Oreochromis niloticus: one gene and its partners. The protein of the gene in region 2 purifies or fractionates together with the protein of the main gene of each other region. This does not show direct contact. Links are inferred from orthologs where the notes say so. Each region holds a gene or a part of one and is shown on either strand. Other genes may lie near its edges.

Region 1 (7,803 bases), on a different chromosome or scaffold from region 2:
GCAACCCTAGATAATAAATAGAGATTTTATAACTACAAATATCTACTGAGTTGTGCCATATACTTTCAACATAAAACCCTAAAACTCTAAAAAAAGGTGAAATAGCAGTGATCAAATTGTGCCATATTAAAATATGCTTTCCCTACGTGACTGAAAAATATTCCTGCATACAGACAAATTTACAGCACAACATGTGTCATATGTTCAGAAAACTGCCAGGTTTACTAATATAAATAATATACATCATATTAGTATACCTCGTATACAGCCAAAGATATGAGCTCACAACTAAGCATTACAACGATTAAATCCATGATTTACTGACACATCACATCACTTGCCATTGGCTTTGTTATTTAAGGCTAACAGATTAATAAACTCTTATTTATTTTTACCACAAACCATGCATTTTCTTTGTATTTCTAATTATAATTTTAAGTATAACTTTTTAAGTTTATGGCACTTTCAGGCCACAGAAGCTTTTTAAAGCATTTATAATTTTTAAAAGAAGAACACCTCAGCTCCCACTTTAGTGTCAGGACTAGGGCTGTTCGATATAACGATATATATCGGATGACGATAGAAAAACGTCTATCGTTTCATTTTACGCTATCGTTTGTTTCGTGGTGTCGCAAAATAAACTGTTTACGGCAATATTTTTTCATCATTTTGATGGTCACTGTAGTGGCTATATTAATTTCCTAAAGTTCTCTCTTTCTCTTATATTTAATATAACCACACTATGGAAGGACAAGCGCTTGTTTTTTATGCGTTTTCGTTAGCAACAACGACGGTAAAACCACGGCGTGTCCGCTTGTTTATTTTCCACATAAACCTTTCACAATAAAGCTCAAGATCCTGTTGAGGCTTTTCAAAATAAAACGAGTCACGTGAAAGATGCAGAGTATTAACGGATGAGAAGCAAAAAAGAGCCGCCAGGTGCTAAAAAATAAACCTTAGACTCAAACGTTAGAACAGGCTTTTCCCCGCAGCACGCCGTGTAATAAATACTCACAAAGAAAACGGCGGCCGTTACAACTTACTTCTAAAAATATATCGTTTCATGCATCAGTTAAAACACTCGACTCCAGGTACGCGACGCCCAGCTGGAAACACTTCACGCAAGTCGAGATGCCCGACATTCACAGAATTTACAGGAACTGTTACATTTTTGTAATTTATATCGTTATATCGACGATAGATGTTTTAATATCGGGATATGAGATTTTGGTCATATCGCACAGCCCTAGTCAGGACTGTACAGTACAATACAAACCTTACCTTATATAGGTTTATATAGTTATAAGCATTATGTACTGATGCAACGCTGGTAACTGACATTATGTGACTGCTTACATTTTAGTTCTGCAAACAACCAGTGGCTCTTAAGATGAAACTAAACTTTGAGAACCTGAAAGATGCTAAAGTTCGGACTTTATGCTACAAAGGAAACACAATGAAATTTTAACTTTTGAACACTATAAAATCTTTGCAAGTGTTTCCTCTTAACCAACTGGTGCCTCAACACAGAGAAAATCAGTACAGTGAAAGTATAGAGATGAAGACACTGAAAAAGAGTTAGAAGAAAGTAAAAGATCAGATCAGGCTTTTACCGCCTGGGCTTATTGGCTACCAGAACACATTTAGAGAAAATAGTCCCTTGTAACATTGGGTAACATTGCTGTACAAAAGTTTTGAGGCACCTCTCATTTCTTCTTATTTTGTTTCCAAGCAGCTACACTTTCTTGTGATATTTTAAAGCGCTCTTGAACAATGGTGCTCCAGACTTTCTGAGTCTTCACAGTTTTTCATTGCACATTGGCTGCTTTTTCACTTATTTTCAGAGGAATGTTTCTTGTGTTTGTTAAGCCAATTATCACTGACCTGTGAATCAGCACAGTGTCTACACATAACAGACAACTGAGGGAAAAAAACATTTTAAATTGTATTTTTTGGCAAAACACAAAATATGTTCCCATTTCTTTAGTTGAGTCTACAAAAGAATGATGCCAAGGATAACACAGCTTAACAGACATAAACTACTATTTTAGCAACACCACCACCAATTCAGCTACTTACATACACGGACAAAATCCCAAAACTCCAATCATGTCTTCCTACAACCTTTTGTTGTGGCTGTAGCCAACTTGTTGCCAGCACACAACTTCTAGCCGGCTAATACATCACATAAGCATTCTTACTGATGTAAATATAAAAGAAATAATAACTAAAGGTAAGATGTTCTCCCAGTAGGTTGTTACCTTCAGGTAATCCCAACAACTGTGGTCAGGAAGTGCCTTTAGTCACACGTAAGATAATCTGAATGAACACCAGATACAAAAACTACAAGTCATTTTTCTTATTAAAAGATGTTCAAGTACACATTTCCACATCTTTTCCTGTTTTTCCATAAAACAAGGTGAAATAAAAGAATTATTATTAAAACAAATAATAATATGCTCTTTGTAACAGACTGCACTGTAGTCAAAAATCAGTTGTATAGTTCAAAATCTAAAACAACACTGTCTATGTGTTAACTTATTGTCCAAATATGTTAAAAATAATGATAATAAGGGCAATTCCTAATTGCTGCACATTACCAAATGTTCATTTAAAAAAATGAACTGTAACAATGTAATGTATAAATCTCCGTCAGATATTCATCACCTGACGCAGTCTATGAATGGACGCAGTATATTTACTTCCTGTCTTTCTTAAAGTACAACAATTTAAGAGAACTTCCTTGATGCGTTCTAATGAAAACACCACATAGTGCATGCATTTTCCTCCTCTTAAAACACTACAAGACACAAAAGATACAGCTGCGGGTTAAACACTAGACACCCAAAACAAAAATCTTATAAAATACCACCTGGTAGTGCGCTAAAAAGAAGAAAATCTGCCCAAAATCCTGACTTTAACTCATTTAAATACATGTAAATTTTCCATGTAATTTTCTTACATAAGTACAATGTAAAACAATGGTCTGGTCAAATGAAATGAACTTGATTGTTATACATTCAGTTTATACCGAGCACATTTTCCTTAATGATTAATTATATTAATAAATAAACCTCTGGTTTCATACATTTCAGCTGTTATTTCCTTAAAACTCAGCGTGGAGCCAACACTTTGGGGAGCACTTCTGTTGCCATCTGTTTACTATGCTTGTCAAAAGTGTTCTCCTACTGTTGCTACTCCTTTTTCATTAGTGCTCCTCCTCCTCCTCAGAGCACGGAGGGTGGTCAGTTATTATGAAATTATTTGCTATGAAATTCAACAAATGTGTGACTGCGTGTTCTCACTGTGCTCATGAGAAAACATCATCTGGTCACTGTATCTGTAGAAGGTGGATTTTGTACACAGCGATCGGGACTCTGTTCAATCAACCCATCAACCCACTGCGTGAGGAGAATATTATTAGTGAGATCAGGTAATAGCACCAAACACACAAGTGAAAACAAAAGTTAAAAGAACAAAACACCACAAAGCATGTTACAGCTGCCTTCAGTATCTATAGGAGCTCCTCTCTGAAACGAAGCCTGTGTGGGCCCTCGGTTGGCTAATTCAAACCAATATTTGACAACATATATGAATGATTTAAAAAAGTGGTGGCCTCTGTAGCTAACTGTGTATCCAAGAACAAAGTTATTTTTCGTTTTTATATCTCCAACTCACCCAAGACACTATGCGGAGAATGGTCTGAGGCTGCTGGAGGAAGGTGACGGGGTCGAAGGCTCCTCCGGCTTTCCCGGCTCCGTATGCCTGCATCCCCTCCATGGTCCTCCTCCTCCTCTCTCTCCCTCCCCGCTGCTGGCTCAAAGGCACAGGGTGTGTGGAGCACCGGGTAACCGAAACGGAAAATCCCCGAAACTGCTCCCTATCACCACTACTGTACTACCGCTGAATCTGCACGGCTGGGATGCGCGTCTCCCCCCACCCCCGGTCTCCTTTGGCGCCCTGTTCTCTCGTGCTGTTGGTTTTAAATGTAACCTCTAATTTGTCTCCGTTGAGTGTTTGGGTAAAGAAAGCTTTGTGATGGTGCTAGATAGTGATGCTTTCTCCCTTTAGTTCAGCGCAGAAGCCGGTGGCGACCCCGTGAACGCGCCTCCGTTGTCACGCCTCGGACGGAGCGCTCCTCGTCAAAACACCCCGAGTAAAAAAAACAGAAAGAAAGAAAAACAGCGACGTACTCAGGACCACTACAGAGAGTCACGCGCTCTTCGTTTACCGATGGTGGGCGGAAAAACAGTGATTAAACCATTAAACCAGAACATGATATTAACTTAATCATATATATCATATCATATATGATAAAGTATGTGAGCTGAAAATAAATATTGGTAAAGGGTTATTTTGTGTGAAGGCACTTATTAAAACACTAGAATGCTTCTACATGAATAAACGACAGTATAACAGTACCACCACCCAACAACGTTGAACTCCCTGATTGATGGTGCCGTGGGTAGGTGCAATAAATTCCGCCCTCTAGCGGTCTTACCGTATATTGCCTGAATATGCAAGGACCTCATGGTTGTTTTCTCCTTCAGGCTTTATACGTGATATTGCTCTGTTCTTAAACAAGCCCCATTAATATTTAGTCAAGTCGGCTTATTGGTGTTATAAATGGTTGTGCACACTGATATTTACGTTTGTACACTGTTTCAGTAAGTTCTGTCTAACAGACTCTGCAAAAGTAGCCTTTTGCTTCCTTTACGTCCTCACAGAAAACCAATGAAAACACGACTACGCGATTACGTCCTCGACGGCTGGACCAATGAAACAGCCCCGTGGCTGGTTGCTAAGAGACGCTTTGTGTCCATGTTCCCGAGGCTGCAAGAAGGATAGTCCATCGCATATGGACCGATAAACAGCGAAACATAGCTCGATTAGCTTCAAGAGAGTTTTACCTGACAGAGACCGGAAGTCATCCCATGTAATGGTCAAGTTAAGGGCGAGATGTCTGCTGGTCGGTAAGGTTTTCAAAGCGGCCCACTTGATAAATAAGGAACGGGGGCTAAAGCTAGCCTTTTACTACAGAAACATCCCCAGCCACAGGCCGTGTCCTTCTTATGTTTCAGATTCAACCTACTTGTTATAGGACTGACGACAAATACAAGCCTGATACTATTTCATATATAAAAGATTATGTTTGTTGGGTCTCTTTTATCATGTAGCTACAGTCATTTAGCTTACACAAACCAATCACTGCCGAGTGATGATGTTTCAACTCACAGAATTGATGGTGAACCAGACACTAAACTCTAAAACTCCCTGATAATGAGGGGGGTTAATTATGAATTCTGTCGAGAACGAACTCCTTAAACACAAATTAAACTATTAATTATTAATTCACAAAAACTACATCGTAAACACAACCACAGGCTGTCATATTTGTATTCTTCCCTGTGTCTGTGTGTCTGTAGGAGATGCTGCAGTGGGCAAAAGTGCTCTTTCTCATATGTTCTACAGCGATGGCACTCTCTTCCAGAAGAATTACAGCATGGTGAGAGCATTAACACAGTCACTAAAAGGCTCATGGTTTGATTCCATGAGTGAAGTGAGTCTTCCTACTTTAGATCCGATGTGTCCAAAATAAGGCCCTCCTTTCATAAGTTTTACAGCTTTTCCTATTAATGCAAAACAAAAGGAATTAACTAGAAGATAAACAACTGAATGATAGAAAAGTGCCTGTTTTTTCCACCATCTATAGAAATATGTAACAAAATCAACATTTACTGTGAATAAAAAAAATGTGTTTTGTAAATACAGGACAGTTTGTTGAGCTAACACAGATCTCTATGTGATCATTTGTAGTTAAACATCTTTACAATGACAGAAAGTTTCGCTTGTTAGGCCCACGTGAGATCAACGTGTGGTGTGTGTGGTCAGCGGTATAAAATGAGTTTGACATCATTGCTTTAGACTAATCTGTAGGGTTAGGACAGTCTTTTGTTCTGCTCATTGGTCATTTCATTCAGTTTATAAAGTTTCTCCTGAACGATAGATGTTGCCACTCAGACAAAATTTCCATATTGTCACTGGTACAGAAGTCAAAACCAGAAGCATAGAAGTTATAAAAGCATATTCCTCTTTTTCCTTGTTTTTTTTTTCTTTTTCTTTTTTTTGCAATATTTCCCTCTGTATAATCTGTGGATCTCCGAGCTCATGTACTGATATATCATTAAAATGGCAGAAAAAAAAACGGCACTCATATCATCAACCTGCATTGGTTGGATTGCCTGCAATGCCCCAGGTTCCAAAATCAAAAGGTACTTGGCCGGCCGGAGCGACACTCAAGTGGTATCGTGGCCAAGTAGATGTGACGTCAGTTTGACATCATTTTTGTCACCTGGCAAAAGCTTTATTGATGTTACCATGGTAGCAATCAGTGACACCAGTCTGTACCAGTGGGAATCAACACTTGGTGCTATACACGTGTACAGACACGTGTATATGAAGGTTGGTTTATCTTTAGATAGTTTAAATTAGGGGTGTCAACATAAGACTCCAGGGGCCAAAATCAGCCTGGAAAAGATTCTAAACTGGCCCACTAGATGGCTTTGAAAAATTTGAAATAAGGCATAAATTTAATAGGTTTTAAGCTTTCCCTGCTGATAAAGACTTCCCCTGTGGCCATTCATACTACACCTATACCATTTACTTACTTACTTAATTAGTATAAGTAAATAAGTAACAGATAAACAGTTAAATTACAGAAAAGTTTCAGTTTTTCACTATTGACTGTTGACTTTTTTTGGTCTTTATCACATAGAAAAACTGAGACATAATGTTGAAATTGCTCTTCTTTTTTATATTAAGATTTCTTGGGGCTTAAATGTGTAGTTATAATTCTTTACACAGACAGAAAGGATTTTTTTTTCTGGTTTGGCTCACTGAAGATCAGAATTAGTTGAATGTGGCAATGTAAAATGGGTTTGGCCTTCCTGGTTCATATAGAGGAGCTGCTATACTTTGTGTGTTTAAGTATACACTTGGTCCGATTGACTAATTTTGTTGTGAAAGGGTGAATGTGAGGCTCAGAGCAGATGTCAGCATGCCTTTCAGTTTTTGCACCAATGTACCAGCTATGGATATGTCCTTCACGTGGACTTCAAGCAGGCTCGAACAAAGTATAATAGAATGACTACTTGTCTGTGACATCTGCAGCCGTCCACATCTGAGAAACTGCCCCCTGGTGTAGCACTGTCACATAACACAGAGAAAGCGAGCTCACTGCCAGACATACTGCAGTGTATGTGGGGTAGGCAGCATAACATGTCTTATAACAGTAAGTAGGGATGTGTTGTACTCCATTCACACAATCAGCAGAGGAATGGAGCTGTAAAACAAGTTGTTCAGGGATTTACAGATCGGGGTGTACTCCGTGACTAGCCACAGGCTTATGTTTTTGTATTCAGGCTGGGTAAGTGAGGTGAATTGGGTTTGAAGGAGCAGCTCATGAAGTGCAATGCTGGCTCACTGCCAGCACAGAATAGATAGTAGTTTGTAGGGAATAGCCTTATCTGTGTGCTGTGAAGCGCTCAGAAATCCAGGCGTTCAGTCCTGCCTGACACTGCAGCAGCTAATCAGCATGTAATTGGCAAAATGTGCTTTTTTAGTAGGCACACTTGTTCTGATAGCTAGTATTAACCTTCCTGAGACCTATTAAGGTCTTAGAAGGCTCTAGATGTATTTATAGATATAGGCATAGCAGTTAAGCAGTGAGTAACCGTGCACAGTTAATCACATGTAGCCGTTTACTCCAGATTTGCTCAATCAGTCAAGAACTGTAGAATTTTC
Region 2 (7,892 bases):
ACTTTTGAACCCAACCTGTTTATCTCCAATCTTTCAGCAGCAAGCTACAGACCATGTCCAGCACCAGCAACGATCCCACTGCAGATTCTCCAGAAATCTCCAGAAATTCTTGTATTTACATTTACAGCACTACATGAACAAGCTTCCGACTGTTTATCTCACTTTCTTATGAAACACGATGCTGCTCACAGTCTTTGTTCCTCCTTTGAGTCGGAGCCTTTCTCCAGGCTCTAGGACCACAGCTCTGGAAGAATCTCCACATGGAATCAGTTAAAAGTCTTTTTGTTTAGCGAGGTTTTAGCGAGCTTCTCATTGATATTGATGGTTATCTGTTTTCTTTGACTCCTTCCTAACTTGGTTTTGCATTCCTGTTAACTGTATTCTTCGTTGTTTTTAATTATTGTGTTGTGCAGCATTTGTGACTACGTGTCTGTGAAAAGCACTTTGTTAATAACCGTTACTTACTGTTTCATAACTAAATATTGGTGATCCATTCATTAATTAGTAATTAGTGTATCTGCAGTTAATACTGTGGATCCGTTGGGGCCAGCCACGTCTCTACGTGTGTGCTGGCTTTGTTAACTACTTGGTAGCACAAATATCTAGACAGTGCACTTAGGCATGGAAGAAATGACCTGCTGAAGTTCAAACAGTGATACTATTAGCATGAGGCAGAGACCTGGATGGTCTGACTGTTTCAGAACTTCAGATCTGCATCTCTTAATAAAATCTGGACCTTAATTGAGATGAACTACAGCAGCAGAAAAGCACACCAGGTGGTGGTTTGATGATATAGGAGATATTTTCTTGGCAGAGTTTAGGCCTTTTAAGACCAAGAGGGCATTTTTAGGCACCACACACCGGCCCTGCACCATCAGTTATGTCATGTACAGTAGATGTTTTTCTGCCCTTACATTAGTAACCTGTTTTTCTGTTTCTTTGTCCCAGCAGATCTTGCACAGCAGCACATCGGTGTTCAGACTGAGTTTTTCACAGACCAGCAGGTCTGTGACCAGGAGAGGAACTCCAGTAGGGGCCAGGAGGACCCGAAGGCTCCACAGATTAAAGTGGAAGAAAAGGAAGTCTGCATCAATCAGGAAGGAGGGCAGTTTGCACTGAAGCAGGAGAATGATGCCGTTATGATGGCACCAACTTGTGAAGAAAGTGAACCACAACCAGAAAGTGACCGGCCCCTCTCTAACAGTTCTGATATTTGCACGTTTGTTAATTCCACATCCAAAGAAACATTAGAAGTTACTAATAAGAGCGCTGACAATGAGGTAGAACTCAACCATCTGGACAGCACCTGGAACCCCGTGGTGAAGCTCTACAGGATAGGTGCGTCTTTTTAACACCACAAAAAAACATACACATAGATGTAAGTCAGATAGACTAACAGGGCTAACACAGCTAACTCTGAGAGCTAACAGCATCAGACTTTTTAGGGTTAAGTTTGAAATAAAATGTATCTATCTGATTATTAGAACACCAACCGACCTCTTTACCATCAGGAAAGCCAACAACGGGCTAGACTCTGTAATTTGTACTTCTGCGTCCACACAAATACTTGTTTGTTTCTACTAATTCTAAAAAAAAACCACATTATTTTTAGTCATAATGGTGAGAGTTAAACACCACGTCTTATTCTGAGTCAGAGTTCTGCGTAAGCAACATGAAAGCATGGATCCATCCTGCCTTGTATCAGTGGGTCAGGCTGCTGGTGGTGTGAAGGTTATAAATGCATACGTCTAGTTTTAATCTCAAATATGAGTGAAACGCTTGCGCTGTTGAATTCTGCATGACTGACTTTTTCCTCTTCAGCCTGTTTGCTTCACGTGCTGAATCATAAACATAATTGGTGGAAACACGTTAGCAGCCCAGCAGCTGCCTAACAAGTTACCTGACATATTTACTTAGTGGCCTCGAGGCCATCATCGTCTCAGACCCTGTTACAGTATACCTGCTCATAAGAAGTTTTCCGTCATCTCATTAGTAACCTGTGGTTTGTTCCTGCAGATTTTCCACAGCAGCATGTCTGTGATCACAAGGAGGTTCCTACAGACCAGCAGGTCTTAAACCAGGATCGGAACTTCAGCCCAGACCAGGAGGACCCAGAGCCTCCGCAGATTACAGGGGAGCAGGTAGCAGTCGGCCTCAGTCACCAGGGAGAGCAACTCGTACAGAACGAGGAGACTGACGCTGTTACAGTTCAGCCATGTTTGGGTCCTCCTGCCCATGAGCAGCCTAACACAGCCCCTGTTAAAGTCAGCGCAGATTCTGATTTGGCTCTGAAAACCAAAACCTTCACAGGTGAGAAGCTGTATCTCTGCAACACCTGTGGAAAAACACTGAAAACCGTGTCCTCATTTAAAAGGCATAACGCCAGTCACACAGGGGAGAAGCCGTACACTCGTCACAGCTGTGGGAGAAAATCTAGAGGCTTGAGGTCTTTAAAAAGGCACGTGAAGACACAGCTGATCAGAAGCACGTCTGTAACACCTGTGGGAAAAGGTACAAACAGGAAATAACTTCACATGCAACGTCACACAGGTAATAAGACAAAGGCCTGAAACGTCTGCTGGAAAACTGTGCCCCTGAAACGAGGCTTGATGGTAAAAAGTACGAATTTGTACAGGTTCACATGTGAGATGGTTCAATAAAATCTCGTTTTTGTTCTGTGTGAGGCTGCATAGTCATTTCTAGGCTGTGAAATTTCACATCTGACTCATGAATAATACATATTATTAATTTTACGAGGTAAATTAATGATATGCCCAAGAACTGCACAGGTGCCCGGTACCTGGGTGGAGCCCTGGGACCCTGTTCTCGACTCATGGCTGGACTCTAGTGGGGGCTCTCTCACCCTTTGGCACCCCATTAGGGGCCTCCCTCCCTCCTCCTCCTGCTGGGATAGGCGGATGTCACTGAGATGTGTGGCCTCAGGTCTTTGGTACGCTTGGGGGCTCGGATCGATCTCTGTCTGCCTCTGGTTCCTGGGGTGTTATTGCAGTTTCCCACCCTCATTATCAAGTACATTTGTGACAAAGACACACACACTCTCACTCACTCTCTGTCTCTCACACAGTACGGGAAGATTGATGATTTATGTACCTGCGTAGTTTCTCTTTTTTGTGTTCCAGGTGCAGCAGTTGGTGCATTTCTATCCTTTTATTACATGTCCTATCCTACTCCCATCCTGCCTTAGACGCTGTCATACTGTACACCACACAGTAGCGGTTTTAGATACGGGCGACACGGGCGGTTGCCCGGGGCGGCATCGTGATGGGGGCGGCATCACGGGCATCGGCAAAAAAGAAAAAAAACGCTCGTACTCATGCTGCCCCTACGGCAGCCAGCGCATATTGGGAATGGCACAGGCATCGATCGGTTTTCTATCGCCCATTTGCTGGGAGTAAGGGCGCCCTCCGTTTGCGAGGTGCGCCTGATGCTTGCGGCGCAGAGAGGAGAGGGCGGGGCGGCGGGGGATTCTCTGGCTGACTGGAGCGGCATCTAATAACCAACTAGCAAAATAAAACAAAATAACAAACATGAAAACACCAGACATCATGATACAGACTTATAATTTGCACCGATGTTTTTTCAAAATTCTATACACGAAAAGTGAGCGCGAGAGCCCTCGGTGCGCCTGCTCGCTGCTGAAGTCAAAGTAAACTTTATTGTCATCTCCGCTACATACAGTCCAGTATATAGAGAGACGAGACGACGAGGCTCCAGTTACAGCAGTGCAAGGAAACAAACAATAAATATACACTTTAGGACTCGGGGTAAAGGGATCAATGACAATTCAAAATTTACAGTTTGATGATTTAAAGTCTCACACACAACCAGTCGAAAGGGGAGGAGCCCCGGCTGCTTCTATTATGCGTCTATCATGTATTCATGATTTGAATCCTGGGTTGTGTGAAATCTCAGAAATGCACCCTAGACAAAGTGAATCTGTGAACTAAGGTGTAGGTCTGTTAGGTTATGTTGTGGTGATCCTTGGGTTGAGGGATGGGTGTTCATACTGGAGTGCAAAATTAAAACCAATGGAAGATGGACAAGAAAAGTTCAAAGCCATCAGGTGCTCAGTTTAGAAAAAACAGAAAAGAAGAGGAGGAGAAACGAGCAAAAGATACAGGTAAGCAGATGTGTCATTGGATAACGGCAGGTCATCCTGAAACAGTCAGAATCAGAATACTTTATTAATACTTTACTAAGGAAATAATGTGGGTTACAGTTGCTCCAAGAAGAAATTGTAAAGATAGCAACACTAACAGATTAAACTCCAAACAATACATTATGTTACAGATTTTAATATTAATTAGTCATTGTCAGTTGTTGATTTGTCCTGTTCTCATTGTATGAAGAATTATGATGGCTGTTTGGTAGCCGTTTGCATACTATGCATACTCTGTCTCTCTTCATATGTGTGTGTGGACAACAGTTTTATGTTAATGTATGATCCTTAATATGTGTGTGTGGGGGGGGGGGGGGGGAGGGAGTGTTCGCCCAGGGCGCCAAACAGGCTAGGACCGCCACTGACACCACATACAATATAATAACTGAAATAACACAAATAGGAATTAACAAAGAAACAGATGAAAGATATACATGAACAAGAGGAGCCTGTAGAGAATTTATAGAGGTGGTTTTGGAAAATGTGTTTGGCACCACAGAACATTCAGATCATAAATCTGGTTGCAAAAGCTGCCACACAGGATAGGACAAAATCACCAAATTTATATATCTGTATGTATACACACACACACACACACACACATACATATTTATATATATATATTCAGTTTGGGGGGAGCTTTTAATCTTTGAATACTGGAAATACCGTTTTTAAGCACACACTCCAGCCTGTGGAGGTCGCTGTTGCGATGTTTTCCAGCCGACACAAAGAAGACAGCTAAGCTAACGGCAGCATCTAACGGGACACTGAGAGGATTCAGACTGTCATTTTATACAGCTTTTTTCCAGACTGTGAATATTGATACAGCTTATAAAAGAAATGTGACCAATGACTGACTTCAGACCAGTGTTTAAAATGTTATGCCGCAGTCGCTATCTGCTAACGTCAGCTAGCCGCTTAGCTGGTTAGCTTTCGGTTGCCTGACAACAGAAGCCAAACAAACACCGCTAGCAGGTTAGCAGTGCTAATCTGTTAAAGGTTCTAGGTTTTTACATTTTCCACGCAAACGTCAAACTTGCAGGATGGCGGAGGACGGCAGACGCGGCGACGAGGAGGACCGAGGGCCCGGAGCGGCTTATCGGGGGGTCGTAGTGATGGAGAGCCTGCTGGAGAAGCTGAATGTACTCAACTATGAGGAGGAGGTTCTGAGCAAACACAACATGAAGAACCTGTCCAGGTGAGAAGCGCATAGTTCGGATGTAAGTACGGTGTCCTTTTTAGGATTTAGAACCAGAAAAAAACAATCGAAGTGTGTAACTCAGTAGTTTTCCTTCTCAGACATTTAGAAAAATATAATGAGACACAATAAAAACACAGACACGTCCTAAAGATAAGTGATTGTGTTGTGAAGTTCATTCATCCCTCTGGTTGGAGGAGAGTGATGGAGTTCAGGTATGATGTGGAGGGTTTGTGTGGCCTTGGCATTGTACTGGACCGTTGTGGTGGAGAGAGAGCCGCCTACAACCCTCACCTCTGATCGATCAACTCAGACAAAGTATTGCATAAAAATAAAATGAAATCCAGGCTTGTTTCCAGTGTTTGTGCCGTTTTGATGTTTTCGAGTGTGCACAGTGAAGGAAAACCCTTCAGTCCCCTCTGCTTTCTCCGTGCAGGCATTACTTTGTCTCCAGTCCATACCTGGCGTCTAACCCCGGCGAGCAGTTCTACATGTTCACCATCATCGCAGCGTGGCTCATCAATGTGGCGGGGAGGCCGTTTACCGAGCCGCAGGAGTATGACGAGCCCAACGCCACCGTGTCCAACATCCTGGCAGAACTGCGGGCCTTTGTGAGTCACACAGAAAGAGTTTAGAAGCTGGAAATGAGCTTTGATATGGCTGGAGTTAGTTTGATTGTGCTTTGATAAATCTGACCGATCATGCGAAGGCGGGAGCTTCTGTTAAACAAGAAGAGTTTGATGCTTTATCGACGACTCCTCTGTTTTTCAGGGTGTTAAGGTGGACTTCCCACCCTCCAAACTGAAGTCGGGCTCAGGCGAGTACGTCTGCTTCGTGCTGGACCGACTGGCTGAGGAGGCGCTGAGGAGGAGAGGCTTCACCTTCAGGAAGTATGCCATCTGTTTTCTTCTTTTTGTCAGGCTGCTTTTGTTGCTTCTGTGTTTATAGAAGTTTTTTTTTACTTCTTTCTGTCTCTGTTACAGGACAAACTACCCATCAGAAAACACAGAAGAAGAGTCTGTGGTGGAGGATGACGCCGAGCTCACTCTCAGCAAAGTGGAGGAGGAGCTGATCGTAGGTGTTCCACATTCGTCTAACTTCCTCTTCTTTTCCGTTCGGCACACTTACAGGATGAATCTGTTTTTACTGCGGTGGTTTCCTGCACCTCTGTCAGAGATCACCAAACACTGAGAGGAAATCAGGGGACAGATTTCAAAATAAAACATCCTCACACTTTTATTTTAAAAACAATTTCATGTATTTTATTACAAAATATTTCCCTCATTTTATAAAGTCCATCACACTTTAGAGCAGAAATCATAATCGAATATATTGCCATGACCGTGTTTTGGGTGTTTTTAATGCTCAGCGCTGCGCGGGTCCAACCATGAATCATCTTCACGTCTCATGATTTTTTTGTGTGTGACCAGGACGAAGGGGACGAGGAGGAGGAGAACGTGATGGACCTGGAGGCTCTGAAGTTACGAAGCACTCACACGGTGAGATCACCTCCGAATAAGATTACATCATAATTTCCACTTTTACGCTCTCACGTTCGCGCCGAGTTTTGAAATCGCCATGGCGTCTGTTTTCTGGCAGGAAGCTGAGATGTCCTCCAAACCCGACGAGATCCTAGAGTCGACGGTCGATGCGACAGAGTGGAACCTGGAGGTGGAGCGTGTCCTGCCGCAACTCAAAGTCACCATCAGGACCGACAACAAGGTAGGCGCTCACCTGAGGTGTCGGAGCCGCCGCCAGATGTGAGATGAAGTGAAAGAAGCTTCACTCTGCCGGAGCTTCACACACTCGTCCAGAGTGATTGTAAAAAGCTTTTGTTTCTGTATGAATGACTGAAAGCTTTGAAGGTTACCTGCAGTTTCCCAGCATGCTCTCTGGTTGGCTGTCAGTGTTAGTGGCTCTCAATCTCTGGTCTGTGTTGGTCCTGCAGGACTGGAGGGTCCACGTGGACCAGATGCACCAGCACAGAGACGGGATCCAGTCCTCACTCAAGGAGGCCAAGGTGCGTTCACTGACCCGCTTCATCATCATGTTATGTCCTCCCTGCAGCCTCTCACTGTCATTGGACGGGACAAACAAGAAGTATTATTTTATTTCAGTCACACATACAGAATATTATTGATCAACCAGATTTAATTAAATAAACTAAAAACAAACAAGCAGAAGAAACAGATGTTTCCATGTTCAGCGGATCTCCTGTTAACCACAGAGACAAACGTCCTGAGGACTGTTTCAATAACTCTGGAGAAAGATGAAAACGAAATAAATTCATGGAGTGAAACTAACATGATGTCATTCTTCGTCGTCTTTGCAGAGCCACCTGGACAAGCTGCAGGAGGACATCGGGAAGACGCTGGAGAAGGTGAGCAGCAGAGAGAAGTACATCAACAACCAGCTGGAGCATCTGATCCAGGAGTACCGCAGCGCCCAGGCCAAACTCAGCAAGGTGAACCCAGAATTGAACGTTCCTGATTCGTTCACGTCATTGCAAAGTTC
Region 3 (7,891 bases), on a different chromosome or scaffold from region 2:
ACCCTAATATGTCATATTAACAACCTGAGCAGTGTGTTAAAAACATAGATGCTTTTAATCCTTTAATATTTTCCAGCGGCTAACTATAGGAGAGAGACAGTTTTCAGGTGGTGGATGCACTTCAGGTGTCACTATCTAAATCTTAGATCTCCTTTTTGTTCAGAACAATTTTCAACTTTGAGCATCAGTATCACGGGATGTGTACACTGCTCAATAAAATTAAAAACACATCAGATCTCACTGGGAAACAAAATCAAGTCTGGATATCTACAGCGATATGACTGGAACGAAAGGATGCCATGTCATTTGATGGAGATGAAAATTATGAATTCAAAGACACTGAAAAGTTATGTGGGAGGCTAGTCCAGGTAGCCAAAATGTCATTGCAGCATTTCAGAGTGGTTCTCCTGGAGGATCTCCATCAAGTGCTGGACCAGGGCATCGCTGGGCTCCTGGACAGTCTGAGGTGCAATCTGGCGACATTGGATGGACCAAAACATAATGTCACACAAGTGTTCAATTGAACTGGGTCAGATGAGTGTGGGGCCCAGTCAATGGTGTCAATTTCTTCATCCTCCAGGAACTGCAGGACACACTACACCAGTGTAGTCTGACAGTGGGTTCAAAACTTTCATCCCGTTATCTCGGTTATCACTGCTGAGCCTGTAGAGGTCTGTGTGTCGACCACCAAACCGGTGATGCTGAGTGACGCTAGAGGCTGCATAATATTCTCCGGACTCTGTCATGTCTGCCAGAGCCCACTAGAGGGCGTCAAGCCCTCAGGCCAGCCCTCACACCAGTGGCCTGCTGGAGGCTCTGGCATTGCTCATCAGATAGCGATCCTGCGGGGGCTTTTTGACATTTTTGCCTTCATTGAATTGTAAGAGTGAAGACAGACTGGAAGCAGGGAGAGAGAGAGGAGGACAGACATGCAGCAAAGGGCCACAGGTTGGACTCAAACCCGGTCACGCAGCATGGGGTCGCCTGCTCACCCACAGAGCTAAACTGGCACCGAATGTCCCAGAAAGTCAACTGACTTGATTCTATACTCTGATTAAAAAGCGTTCCTTAAATTTGTTTGAACAGTTTATTGTCTAGGATGTAGAGTGACAGAGACCTGGATTTGTTCTGATACGTCCAAAACAACCTGATTTTTTTTTCCCCCCTCTGATTCCCCTTGTATCAAAATTAATTCTTATATGTTCATTTTTAAATGGTTGTCAGATTTAAGTTTGAGATTCTGTCTGCTGAAAGAATTACAAATGTGTGAGTGAAAATGGTGCAATTCAAAGTAACATTTACAAGAAGGGGGTCAGGTGGGAATCTTTTTTCTGATTTGGCTGATTTTAATTGAATTACCTACACACAGGCTGATATCTAACTGTACTGTATACTGTACACCCCAGATTATTCACAGATGTAAAACATTCAAACAGCTGCCAGTCAAAGTTGCATCTCAACAAACCACATGAATTCAGCCATGTCAGAATCAGTTTCTCTTTTAGCACATAAACACATTGTGGCTATAAGTATAAGGATGTTGAAAAGACGGTGCATAAAGCTGCATCTGGCTAGAAGGAAAAAACACACAAAAGTAGAAGAGTTGGGCAGATTTGAACAAAAGGCTGGCAGTGGCAAGGATATCGATGGTTACGCCCTTGTCCAGTACAGAGGATGTATGCTGTATCACAGCTGGTCCAGATGTTTCACTAACTCATCTACAGGTTTTGTAGAGGGTTGTAGGAGCCGTGGCAGTTGTCTGGCTTGAAATGACAACTGTAATATTCACGTTTTGACTTTTTTCTCAAAATACTATTTTGAGTTTAATCTTGAAATTTCATCTTAAATCTCAAAATGGACACTTTTCTTAATGTGGCCCTAATACTCTGTTGTACTATAGTGTAACTTCCAGAGTAAATAAAATGTTTTAAAATCTTTATTGGGGCCAAAGTTGGTAAATACTATAAGTCTGGTCTTACTATATTTGACTGGTGATTCCATGCATTGAAATTAAAGCTTATTTTATATTTTATTTATTTATTTTTTATCAATTCTTTTTGGGGGACTTTGGTATTTGCAAAGGGAAATACATTTTAAGAAATAAATCAGTTTATGTTGAGTTTGTTTGCAGCAATATATCTCAGAAACAGCTTGCACAGGGCCATTTTTGCTACTGTGTAGCATCCTCTCTTCTTTAAACAACACTCTGTAAACCTCTGGGAACTGAGGAGGACACCAGAGGTTGGACTTTTGAGGGAGGAATGTTGCCCCATTCTTGTCTGACAGACAATTGTAGCTGCTTAACAGTCCTGGGTCTCCTTTGTTGTATTTTTGGTTTCATAACACTAAATGTTTTCCATTGGTCAAAGGCCTGGACTGCAGACTAACCACTTCTACTATAAACCCATGCTGCTGTGATAAATGTGGTATGTGGTTTTGCATTGTCTTGCTGCAGTATGCAAGGCTTTCCCAGAAAAAAAAAGTACTATAGTCCAATGTGACGTAGGCATGCCCTGGTAAGGAAATACAGTTGTCCTAGTTCTGCTGCATTAAACCAAATGATATGTGAGTGTCATTTGCACACATGTTTTTACACTTGTGAGGACAAGTGTAAAAACATGTGTGCATGAGGTTTTCTGTCAAAACAACAAAAAACAGGAAGTGCTTTAGCTCTGCTACTCAGGGATTAGACTGAGTTTGCTTTTATAATAAAACTTATAGAATAAAAGTTTAGAATTTTAGGAGTTGAAAAGTTCTCCCTGCTGTTTGAGTATTGCATTTCCTTATAGTTGAAGGATTTAAAAGAGGTTTAAAAGAGCACACCTAGAGGCCCATGCATTCAAATGATTCTCCTTTGGCTGCTCCTTTTAGCAGTCACCACAGGGGATCATGTGCCTCCATCTCACCTTGTCTCTAGCAATCACCTCTGTCACACCAACCCTCTTTCACAAGATCTGTGACTCTTCTCTGTGGTCTTCCTCTTTCCCTCCAGCTGGGCAGCTCCATGTTCACCATCCACTCACCTCCTCTGCACATGTCCAAACCATCTCAGCCTTGCCCCTACAAATTGCTCAGCCTATGCATCTTCCCTTTTTGCACCTGTCTCATTTTCATCCACACAGATATTCTGCCTTGCCTCTACTGACTTTCATTGCTCTTCACTCCAGAGCATACCTCCACCTCTCCAGGCTCCCTTTGCAACTGCTCCCTACTTTTGCTACAGATCAGAATGTGCTCTAAAAACATCATAAATCATGGAGACTCCTCAATGACCTCATCTGGTAGCCTGTCCATCACCACTGCAATGAAGAAAGGGTTCACAGCGGTCCCACACAGACTTTGAATTCTGTCCTGCACCACACATACTTCTCTGTCATTCGTGACTTCCTCATTCAGCAACACAGTTCCTCTCTTAGCACCTTAACATATGCCACAAAGATGCACTGACGCTCCTTTTGACCTTCTATGTACTTCTCCATCAACTCTCTTCAAAGCAAAAAAAACCTGACTATACTGCCCTTTAGGACCAGTACACTTTTCCTCCCTTCCTCAGACATCCTCTCACTCTCCTAGGCTTTGGTAAACAATCTGTCAATCTATCAAGTCCACTTCCCTCTCTCCCAGACATCTCCACTGGTATATCATCTTTACCAACCACCTTTCCACTCTTCATCTTCTCATGGCTGCCCTGACTTCCTCTTTTCTAATCTCGTGCACTTCCCGATTCACTAACTGTCCTCCTCTCTCCCATTTTCTTCACTCAGCTCCTCAAAATACTCCTTCCACCTTCTCAACTCTCTCTTCACTCATAAGTACATTTTCATCTCTTTCCTTAATCACCCTGCACATCTTTTCCAGCTCGATCTCTCTGCCTAGCCGATCAATACCAAGTCATTTTCTCCTTCCTTAGTGTCCAGCCTCAGATACAACTCACCAAGCCTTTGCCACCCCTCAGTTTCCACTACACCTAGCCTCCAAGCACTCCTGTCTACTTTCTTTGCTAACCTCTTGCAATGGTTAAACTATTAAATTACAGCATCCCTCATTTCCCATAATGTAAGAGTAAGCCTTTCCACAGGCTGAGTAATCATGACTAATAAAGTGGCATCATGTGTAAAAACAGCTGATTGCCAGTTTAAGTCTAATTAGGTTTGGTGTGAGAACAGTTTGCTGTAAATGTGATATGTAAATAAAGTGGGTTAGATTAGGGGTTAACCTGAAATTCAGGGTCCTTTAAGAAGCCAGTCTCAAGTCTTCAGACTCTGACAGGTTATTTGAAACATGATCTAAATAACTTTAATTTCATTTGCAATCATCAGCATGTAAACTGCAGGTGTCCCCAGTTAGACTCGAGAAACTGCTTAAAAACTGAAAATTAGGCCTTAAAAACTGTTTTTTTTTACCACCATCTTTGCTCTTGCTCCCACATATTTAAATTTAGGATTCTTTGTCTGTCTTAGGATTTGTCTGATGCCTTATATAAATCTTATAAAATAATAGCAGCAGATGAGAAGCCTCTTATAGAGTATTTAACTCTAATATCTGCAGAAATCATGAGTCAAAAAGAACAGACATGCACTGACATCCATCACTGAAGAAAATATTGAGTTTTTTTCTTAACTTAAACTCTGTGAGCTCTTCAGACACACTGCATTTATCTGTGTTGTTGGAAGTGAAGTGGTTCTGATAATCAGGTGACTTCTAAGCAGCAGTGGCCTGCATCTGTTTGCCGTTGTTGGTAAGTGTGGATTGAACTCTGCATTGCACCGCTAGACACTTTTATCATGATTCAATCCTACAAAAGATCTCATGCAGTGCCCTGTGTTTCACTTTGGTTTCTGCAGCTTGTTGCAGACGGCACATGTCACAGCCGACACCTCCTACTTCCACCTTGTTTGAAACTCTCACTTCCTCCCTGTCATTTGTCATGTACTTTAACCTACAGTCTCCTCTCGTGTTCTCATTCTGGTGGCAGGGCGTTTGGTGCACTGCCAAAACTCCTTGAGCTGAATCACCCCCACTCGACTCCCAGGTAGGCCCACATCATCTCTTTGCAGTCTCAACCTCTTGAAGATATCATCTTACCTGCAATCGGTGCATTGGTTAAAGAGGGAAATAGCTGAAGCTAACCGTATGTCATTAATTTCAGTGACACATTTTTGTTTCTCATCTTCCACATGGCCTTGAGTTTCTCCTATTTCAAGGCAGTGAATTGTTTCCTACTTCGTACTGGTCAATGTTTTCCATCACAACACAGAGAGATAGTGGTCGAGACAGATTACTGACATGCATTTAGAGTCCTGATAAAATTACGGCTCACTCTGTAAAGGATTATTAAATTAGCTGCAGAGAAGCCCGAGAGGTCTTGTGATGCACATGCAGCAAAACTAACTGTCATACGCTACCGAATCTGAGCTTAGGCGCGGCTGCAGATTTCAGGAAGTAAACTCTACAAATGGAGGTAAAGAAAGACTTATTTAGTGCTTTTCATCTGTTCCTGCGTGATGCAAAGTTCGTATATTTTGCAGCTGCTTTTGATTGAAGTTCTGATCTCATTGCGCACACAGACACATGCGTTTACTGGATATGTTTCAGCTTACTTCGTCAAATATGTCATTTAAAGCATGCCCTACATGCGGGGAATTAAATAACAGCATGACTGTATGAACTAAGGGAAAGAAAGGTTTGTGGTTTTGTTACTCTCTTTGTAGGATGTGGTGTAACTGCCGCTCGGGCAGCTTCTGTACCTTTTTTAAGGACACTGCATGTGCTTTAGATGATAAAAGGCCTACTTTTTTGTTTCCTTTCTGCTGTTTTTTTTGTACATTTGCTTGCTATTTAATATTTCTGTGTTTCATACACACATATTAAAAAGAGAAGGCGATAGAGTGCCAGAGTACCAGTCACAGAGGAAGCAGTTGTGAAAGCTTTTGCTTCTTCCTTTTTTAGCTTTCCTCTGTTGAGTCTTTCAACGGTTTCATCAGCTTTGTGTCTGTCAGATTATTTCCGCATGAAATCAAAAAGCACCAACAAACAATATGATTTATGATGACCCATAAAATAAATCTCTCTCAACTCTGCTACAGACTTCTTGCTCTTCTTGCACATTAATTTTCTCCTCTTTGCGCACTTTTTTTTCATTCTTTCTCAGTTCACCATGTCCAGAAAGGTTGTGAGGACCAGCAAGTTCCGTCACGTCTTTGGCCAGGCTGTGAAAGCTGACCAATGCTACGATGACATCCGAATCTCCCAGATGACCTGGGACAGCAATTTCTGCTCTGTTAACCCCAAGTTTGTGGCCATGATTGTGGACGCCAGCGGTGGGGGAGCCTTCATGGTGCTTCCGCTGAGCAAGGTGGGTCACAGGAATCACCAGGAAACAAAAGAACACAAATAAACCCACCGTTTGGCTCTATACTGTTTTATATACTTCTCTTAATACCATGTTTAGGTGTGTTAACTATTACAGATGCAGGTTGGGGATTAAATTTTGTTTTAGCAGCATTCTTGCACTTTAAAATTTGAATGCTGCCAGTCACCATCACACATTCAGCTAAATAAGGAAGTTTGATGCTGTCTTTGAGTCTGTCTACACGTCACTTGCTCTGCTGTTGAGAAGTTTTCACCATATTAGGAGTTTGTTGTCAGCTCAGTGTAGGAGGACAGGATGTGGCCTCAACCCACTTATTGTGCAGTCACTTAAAGAGGGCGTTAGGTTAGGGCTTGCAGCTCGTTTATTGCATTTTATGTGCCCGAAAAAGTGCAAAATTGCAAACCTTGTAGCCGAGTTAATGGCCAGCTGAATTTGTCAGAGGCTGTGAATTCAGTGAAGTGTCTGTCCTGATCACCTTTGTGTTCACTCGGGCTTGGGAAGTTCGTTGTGTGCAGGCACTGAAAATGCTTACAGTGAGGTCAGGTGTTTTTTATGTGATTGTGGTGTGAAGACTGTACTTCAGAAAGATGTCTACTCTTTTTTCACTGAATAATGTCACTGCTGCTTGCTGCTGCAGTTAGCTACAGAGAGATCACTGTCTCCTAGCATAAACTTAATTACCATCTCCTGCAACTAATTATATCATTAGAAATGAAAGTGACAAGAATCTGAACGTCTTGTCCTTATTTTACCTGACAATTATATTGTCCCACTTTGTGGTATTAAAAAGGCGATTTTAAACGATCTTAAATTTACCTTTGTGAAGCCTGCAGAAATCACATTATTCATGGTCTTATCTCGCGTCTAGCATGCGATTCTCAAAGGACAAAAATAAGTGCAGGGACCAGTGGGCATAAAATTGCAGAGCTGCGCTGTAGTGGAAAAAAACTCATCCTGTTTTGAACGTGATGCTGGCATGGTTGTGTCATCCTGCTTTAGGGCCCAGTGGTTTTTTTAAGGTTTTACCAGAATGAATTCAACTACATGGAGCTAAATGTGACTGACTTATAATGGAAAATATAAAAATAAAAATGATGTGTAATTGTCATTTTTCCCAGACAGCTTCATGACTGGGTTTCCTCTTCTTGGCCCTGATCTCATTTTTAACCCACTTAATAGAAATGAGCGCTCATTGAAGGCAAAGCTGTGTAATTGGTGTCAGCTGATAAACTTCTCCTCATCTAGCTTTGTCTTCTTTTTCTTCCATTTGCTCTTTGCTCTTTACGTTTTGTAGCTGCAGTGTTTTCTGCACTGCATGCATGAGTCATAGTCAATGTCCTCCTATCCTGATGCTTGCCTCTGCAGACAGGACGTATCGACATGTCCTACCCCACTGTATGTGGCCACACGGGTCCGGTCCTGGACATCGAGTTCTGTCCTCATAATGACAACATCATTGCCAGTGGCTCTGAGGACTGCAGTGTCATGGTAAGGCAATAAAGTCTGACACGGAATATT

Evidence for each region. The genes of interacting proteins can lie anywhere in the genome.
Region 1: the proteins of ift57 (region 2) and ift27 purify together in Homo sapiens (co-immunoprecipitation; 3 studies listed by BioGRID and IntAct, with this or other methods). This does not show direct contact. The link is inferred for Oreochromis niloticus from reciprocal best matches to the Homo sapiens genes IFT57 and IFT27.
Region 3: the proteins of ift57 (region 2) and coro1a purify together in Homo sapiens (affinity purification with mass spectrometry; 3 studies listed by BioGRID and IntAct, counting the BioPlex papers as one, with this or other methods). This does not show direct contact. The link is inferred for Oreochromis niloticus from reciprocal best matches to the Homo sapiens genes IFT57 and CORO1A.

Annotation. Positions count from the first base shown.
Region 1 is NC_031971.2:8,801,316-8,809,118, reverse strand, and holds the start of ift27 (intraflagellar transport protein 27 homolog), read left to right. Parts: upstream 1-4,793; 5' UTR 4,794-4,939; coding exon 4,940-4,973; intron 4,974-5,426; coding exon 5,427-5,506; intron 5,507-7,803. Other genes in the region: syngr1b (synaptogyrin-1), read right to left, coding at 3,679-3,780. UniProt on the Homo sapiens protein: Small GTPase-like component of the intraflagellar transport (IFT) complex B that promotes the exit of the BBSome complex from cilia via its interaction with ARL6. Not involved in entry of the BBSome complex into cilium. Prevents aggregation of GTP-free ARL6.
Region 2 is NC_031982.2:33,263,371-33,271,262, reverse strand, and holds the start of ift57 (intraflagellar transport protein 57 homolog), read left to right. Parts: upstream 1-4,878; 5' UTR 4,879-5,155; intron 5,156-5,222; 5' UTR 5,223-5,223; coding exon 5,224-5,378; intron 5,379-5,814; coding exon 5,815-5,989; intron 5,990-6,149; coding exon 6,150-6,268; intron 6,269-6,361; coding exon 6,362-6,452; intron 6,453-6,808; coding exon 6,809-6,877; intron 6,878-6,977; coding exon 6,978-7,100; intron 7,101-7,326; coding exon 7,327-7,398; intron 7,399-7,710; coding exon 7,711-7,842; intron 7,843-7,892. Other genes in the region: zinc finger and SCAN domain-containing protein 21, read left to right, coding at 952-1,338, 2,017-2,528. UniProt on the Homo sapiens protein: Required for the formation of cilia. Plays an indirect role in sonic hedgehog signaling, cilia being required for all activity of the hedgehog pathway.
Region 3 is NC_031969.2:29,278,294-29,286,184, forward strand, and holds the start of coro1a (coronin-1A), read left to right. Parts: upstream 1-4,881; 5' UTR 4,882-5,032; intron 5,033-6,151; 5' UTR 6,152-6,157; coding exon 6,158-6,355; intron 6,356-7,738; coding exon 7,739-7,861; intron 7,862-7,891. UniProt on the Homo sapiens protein: May be a crucial component of the cytoskeleton of highly motile cells, functioning both in the invagination of large pieces of plasma membrane, as well as in forming protrusions of the plasma membrane involved in cell locomotion.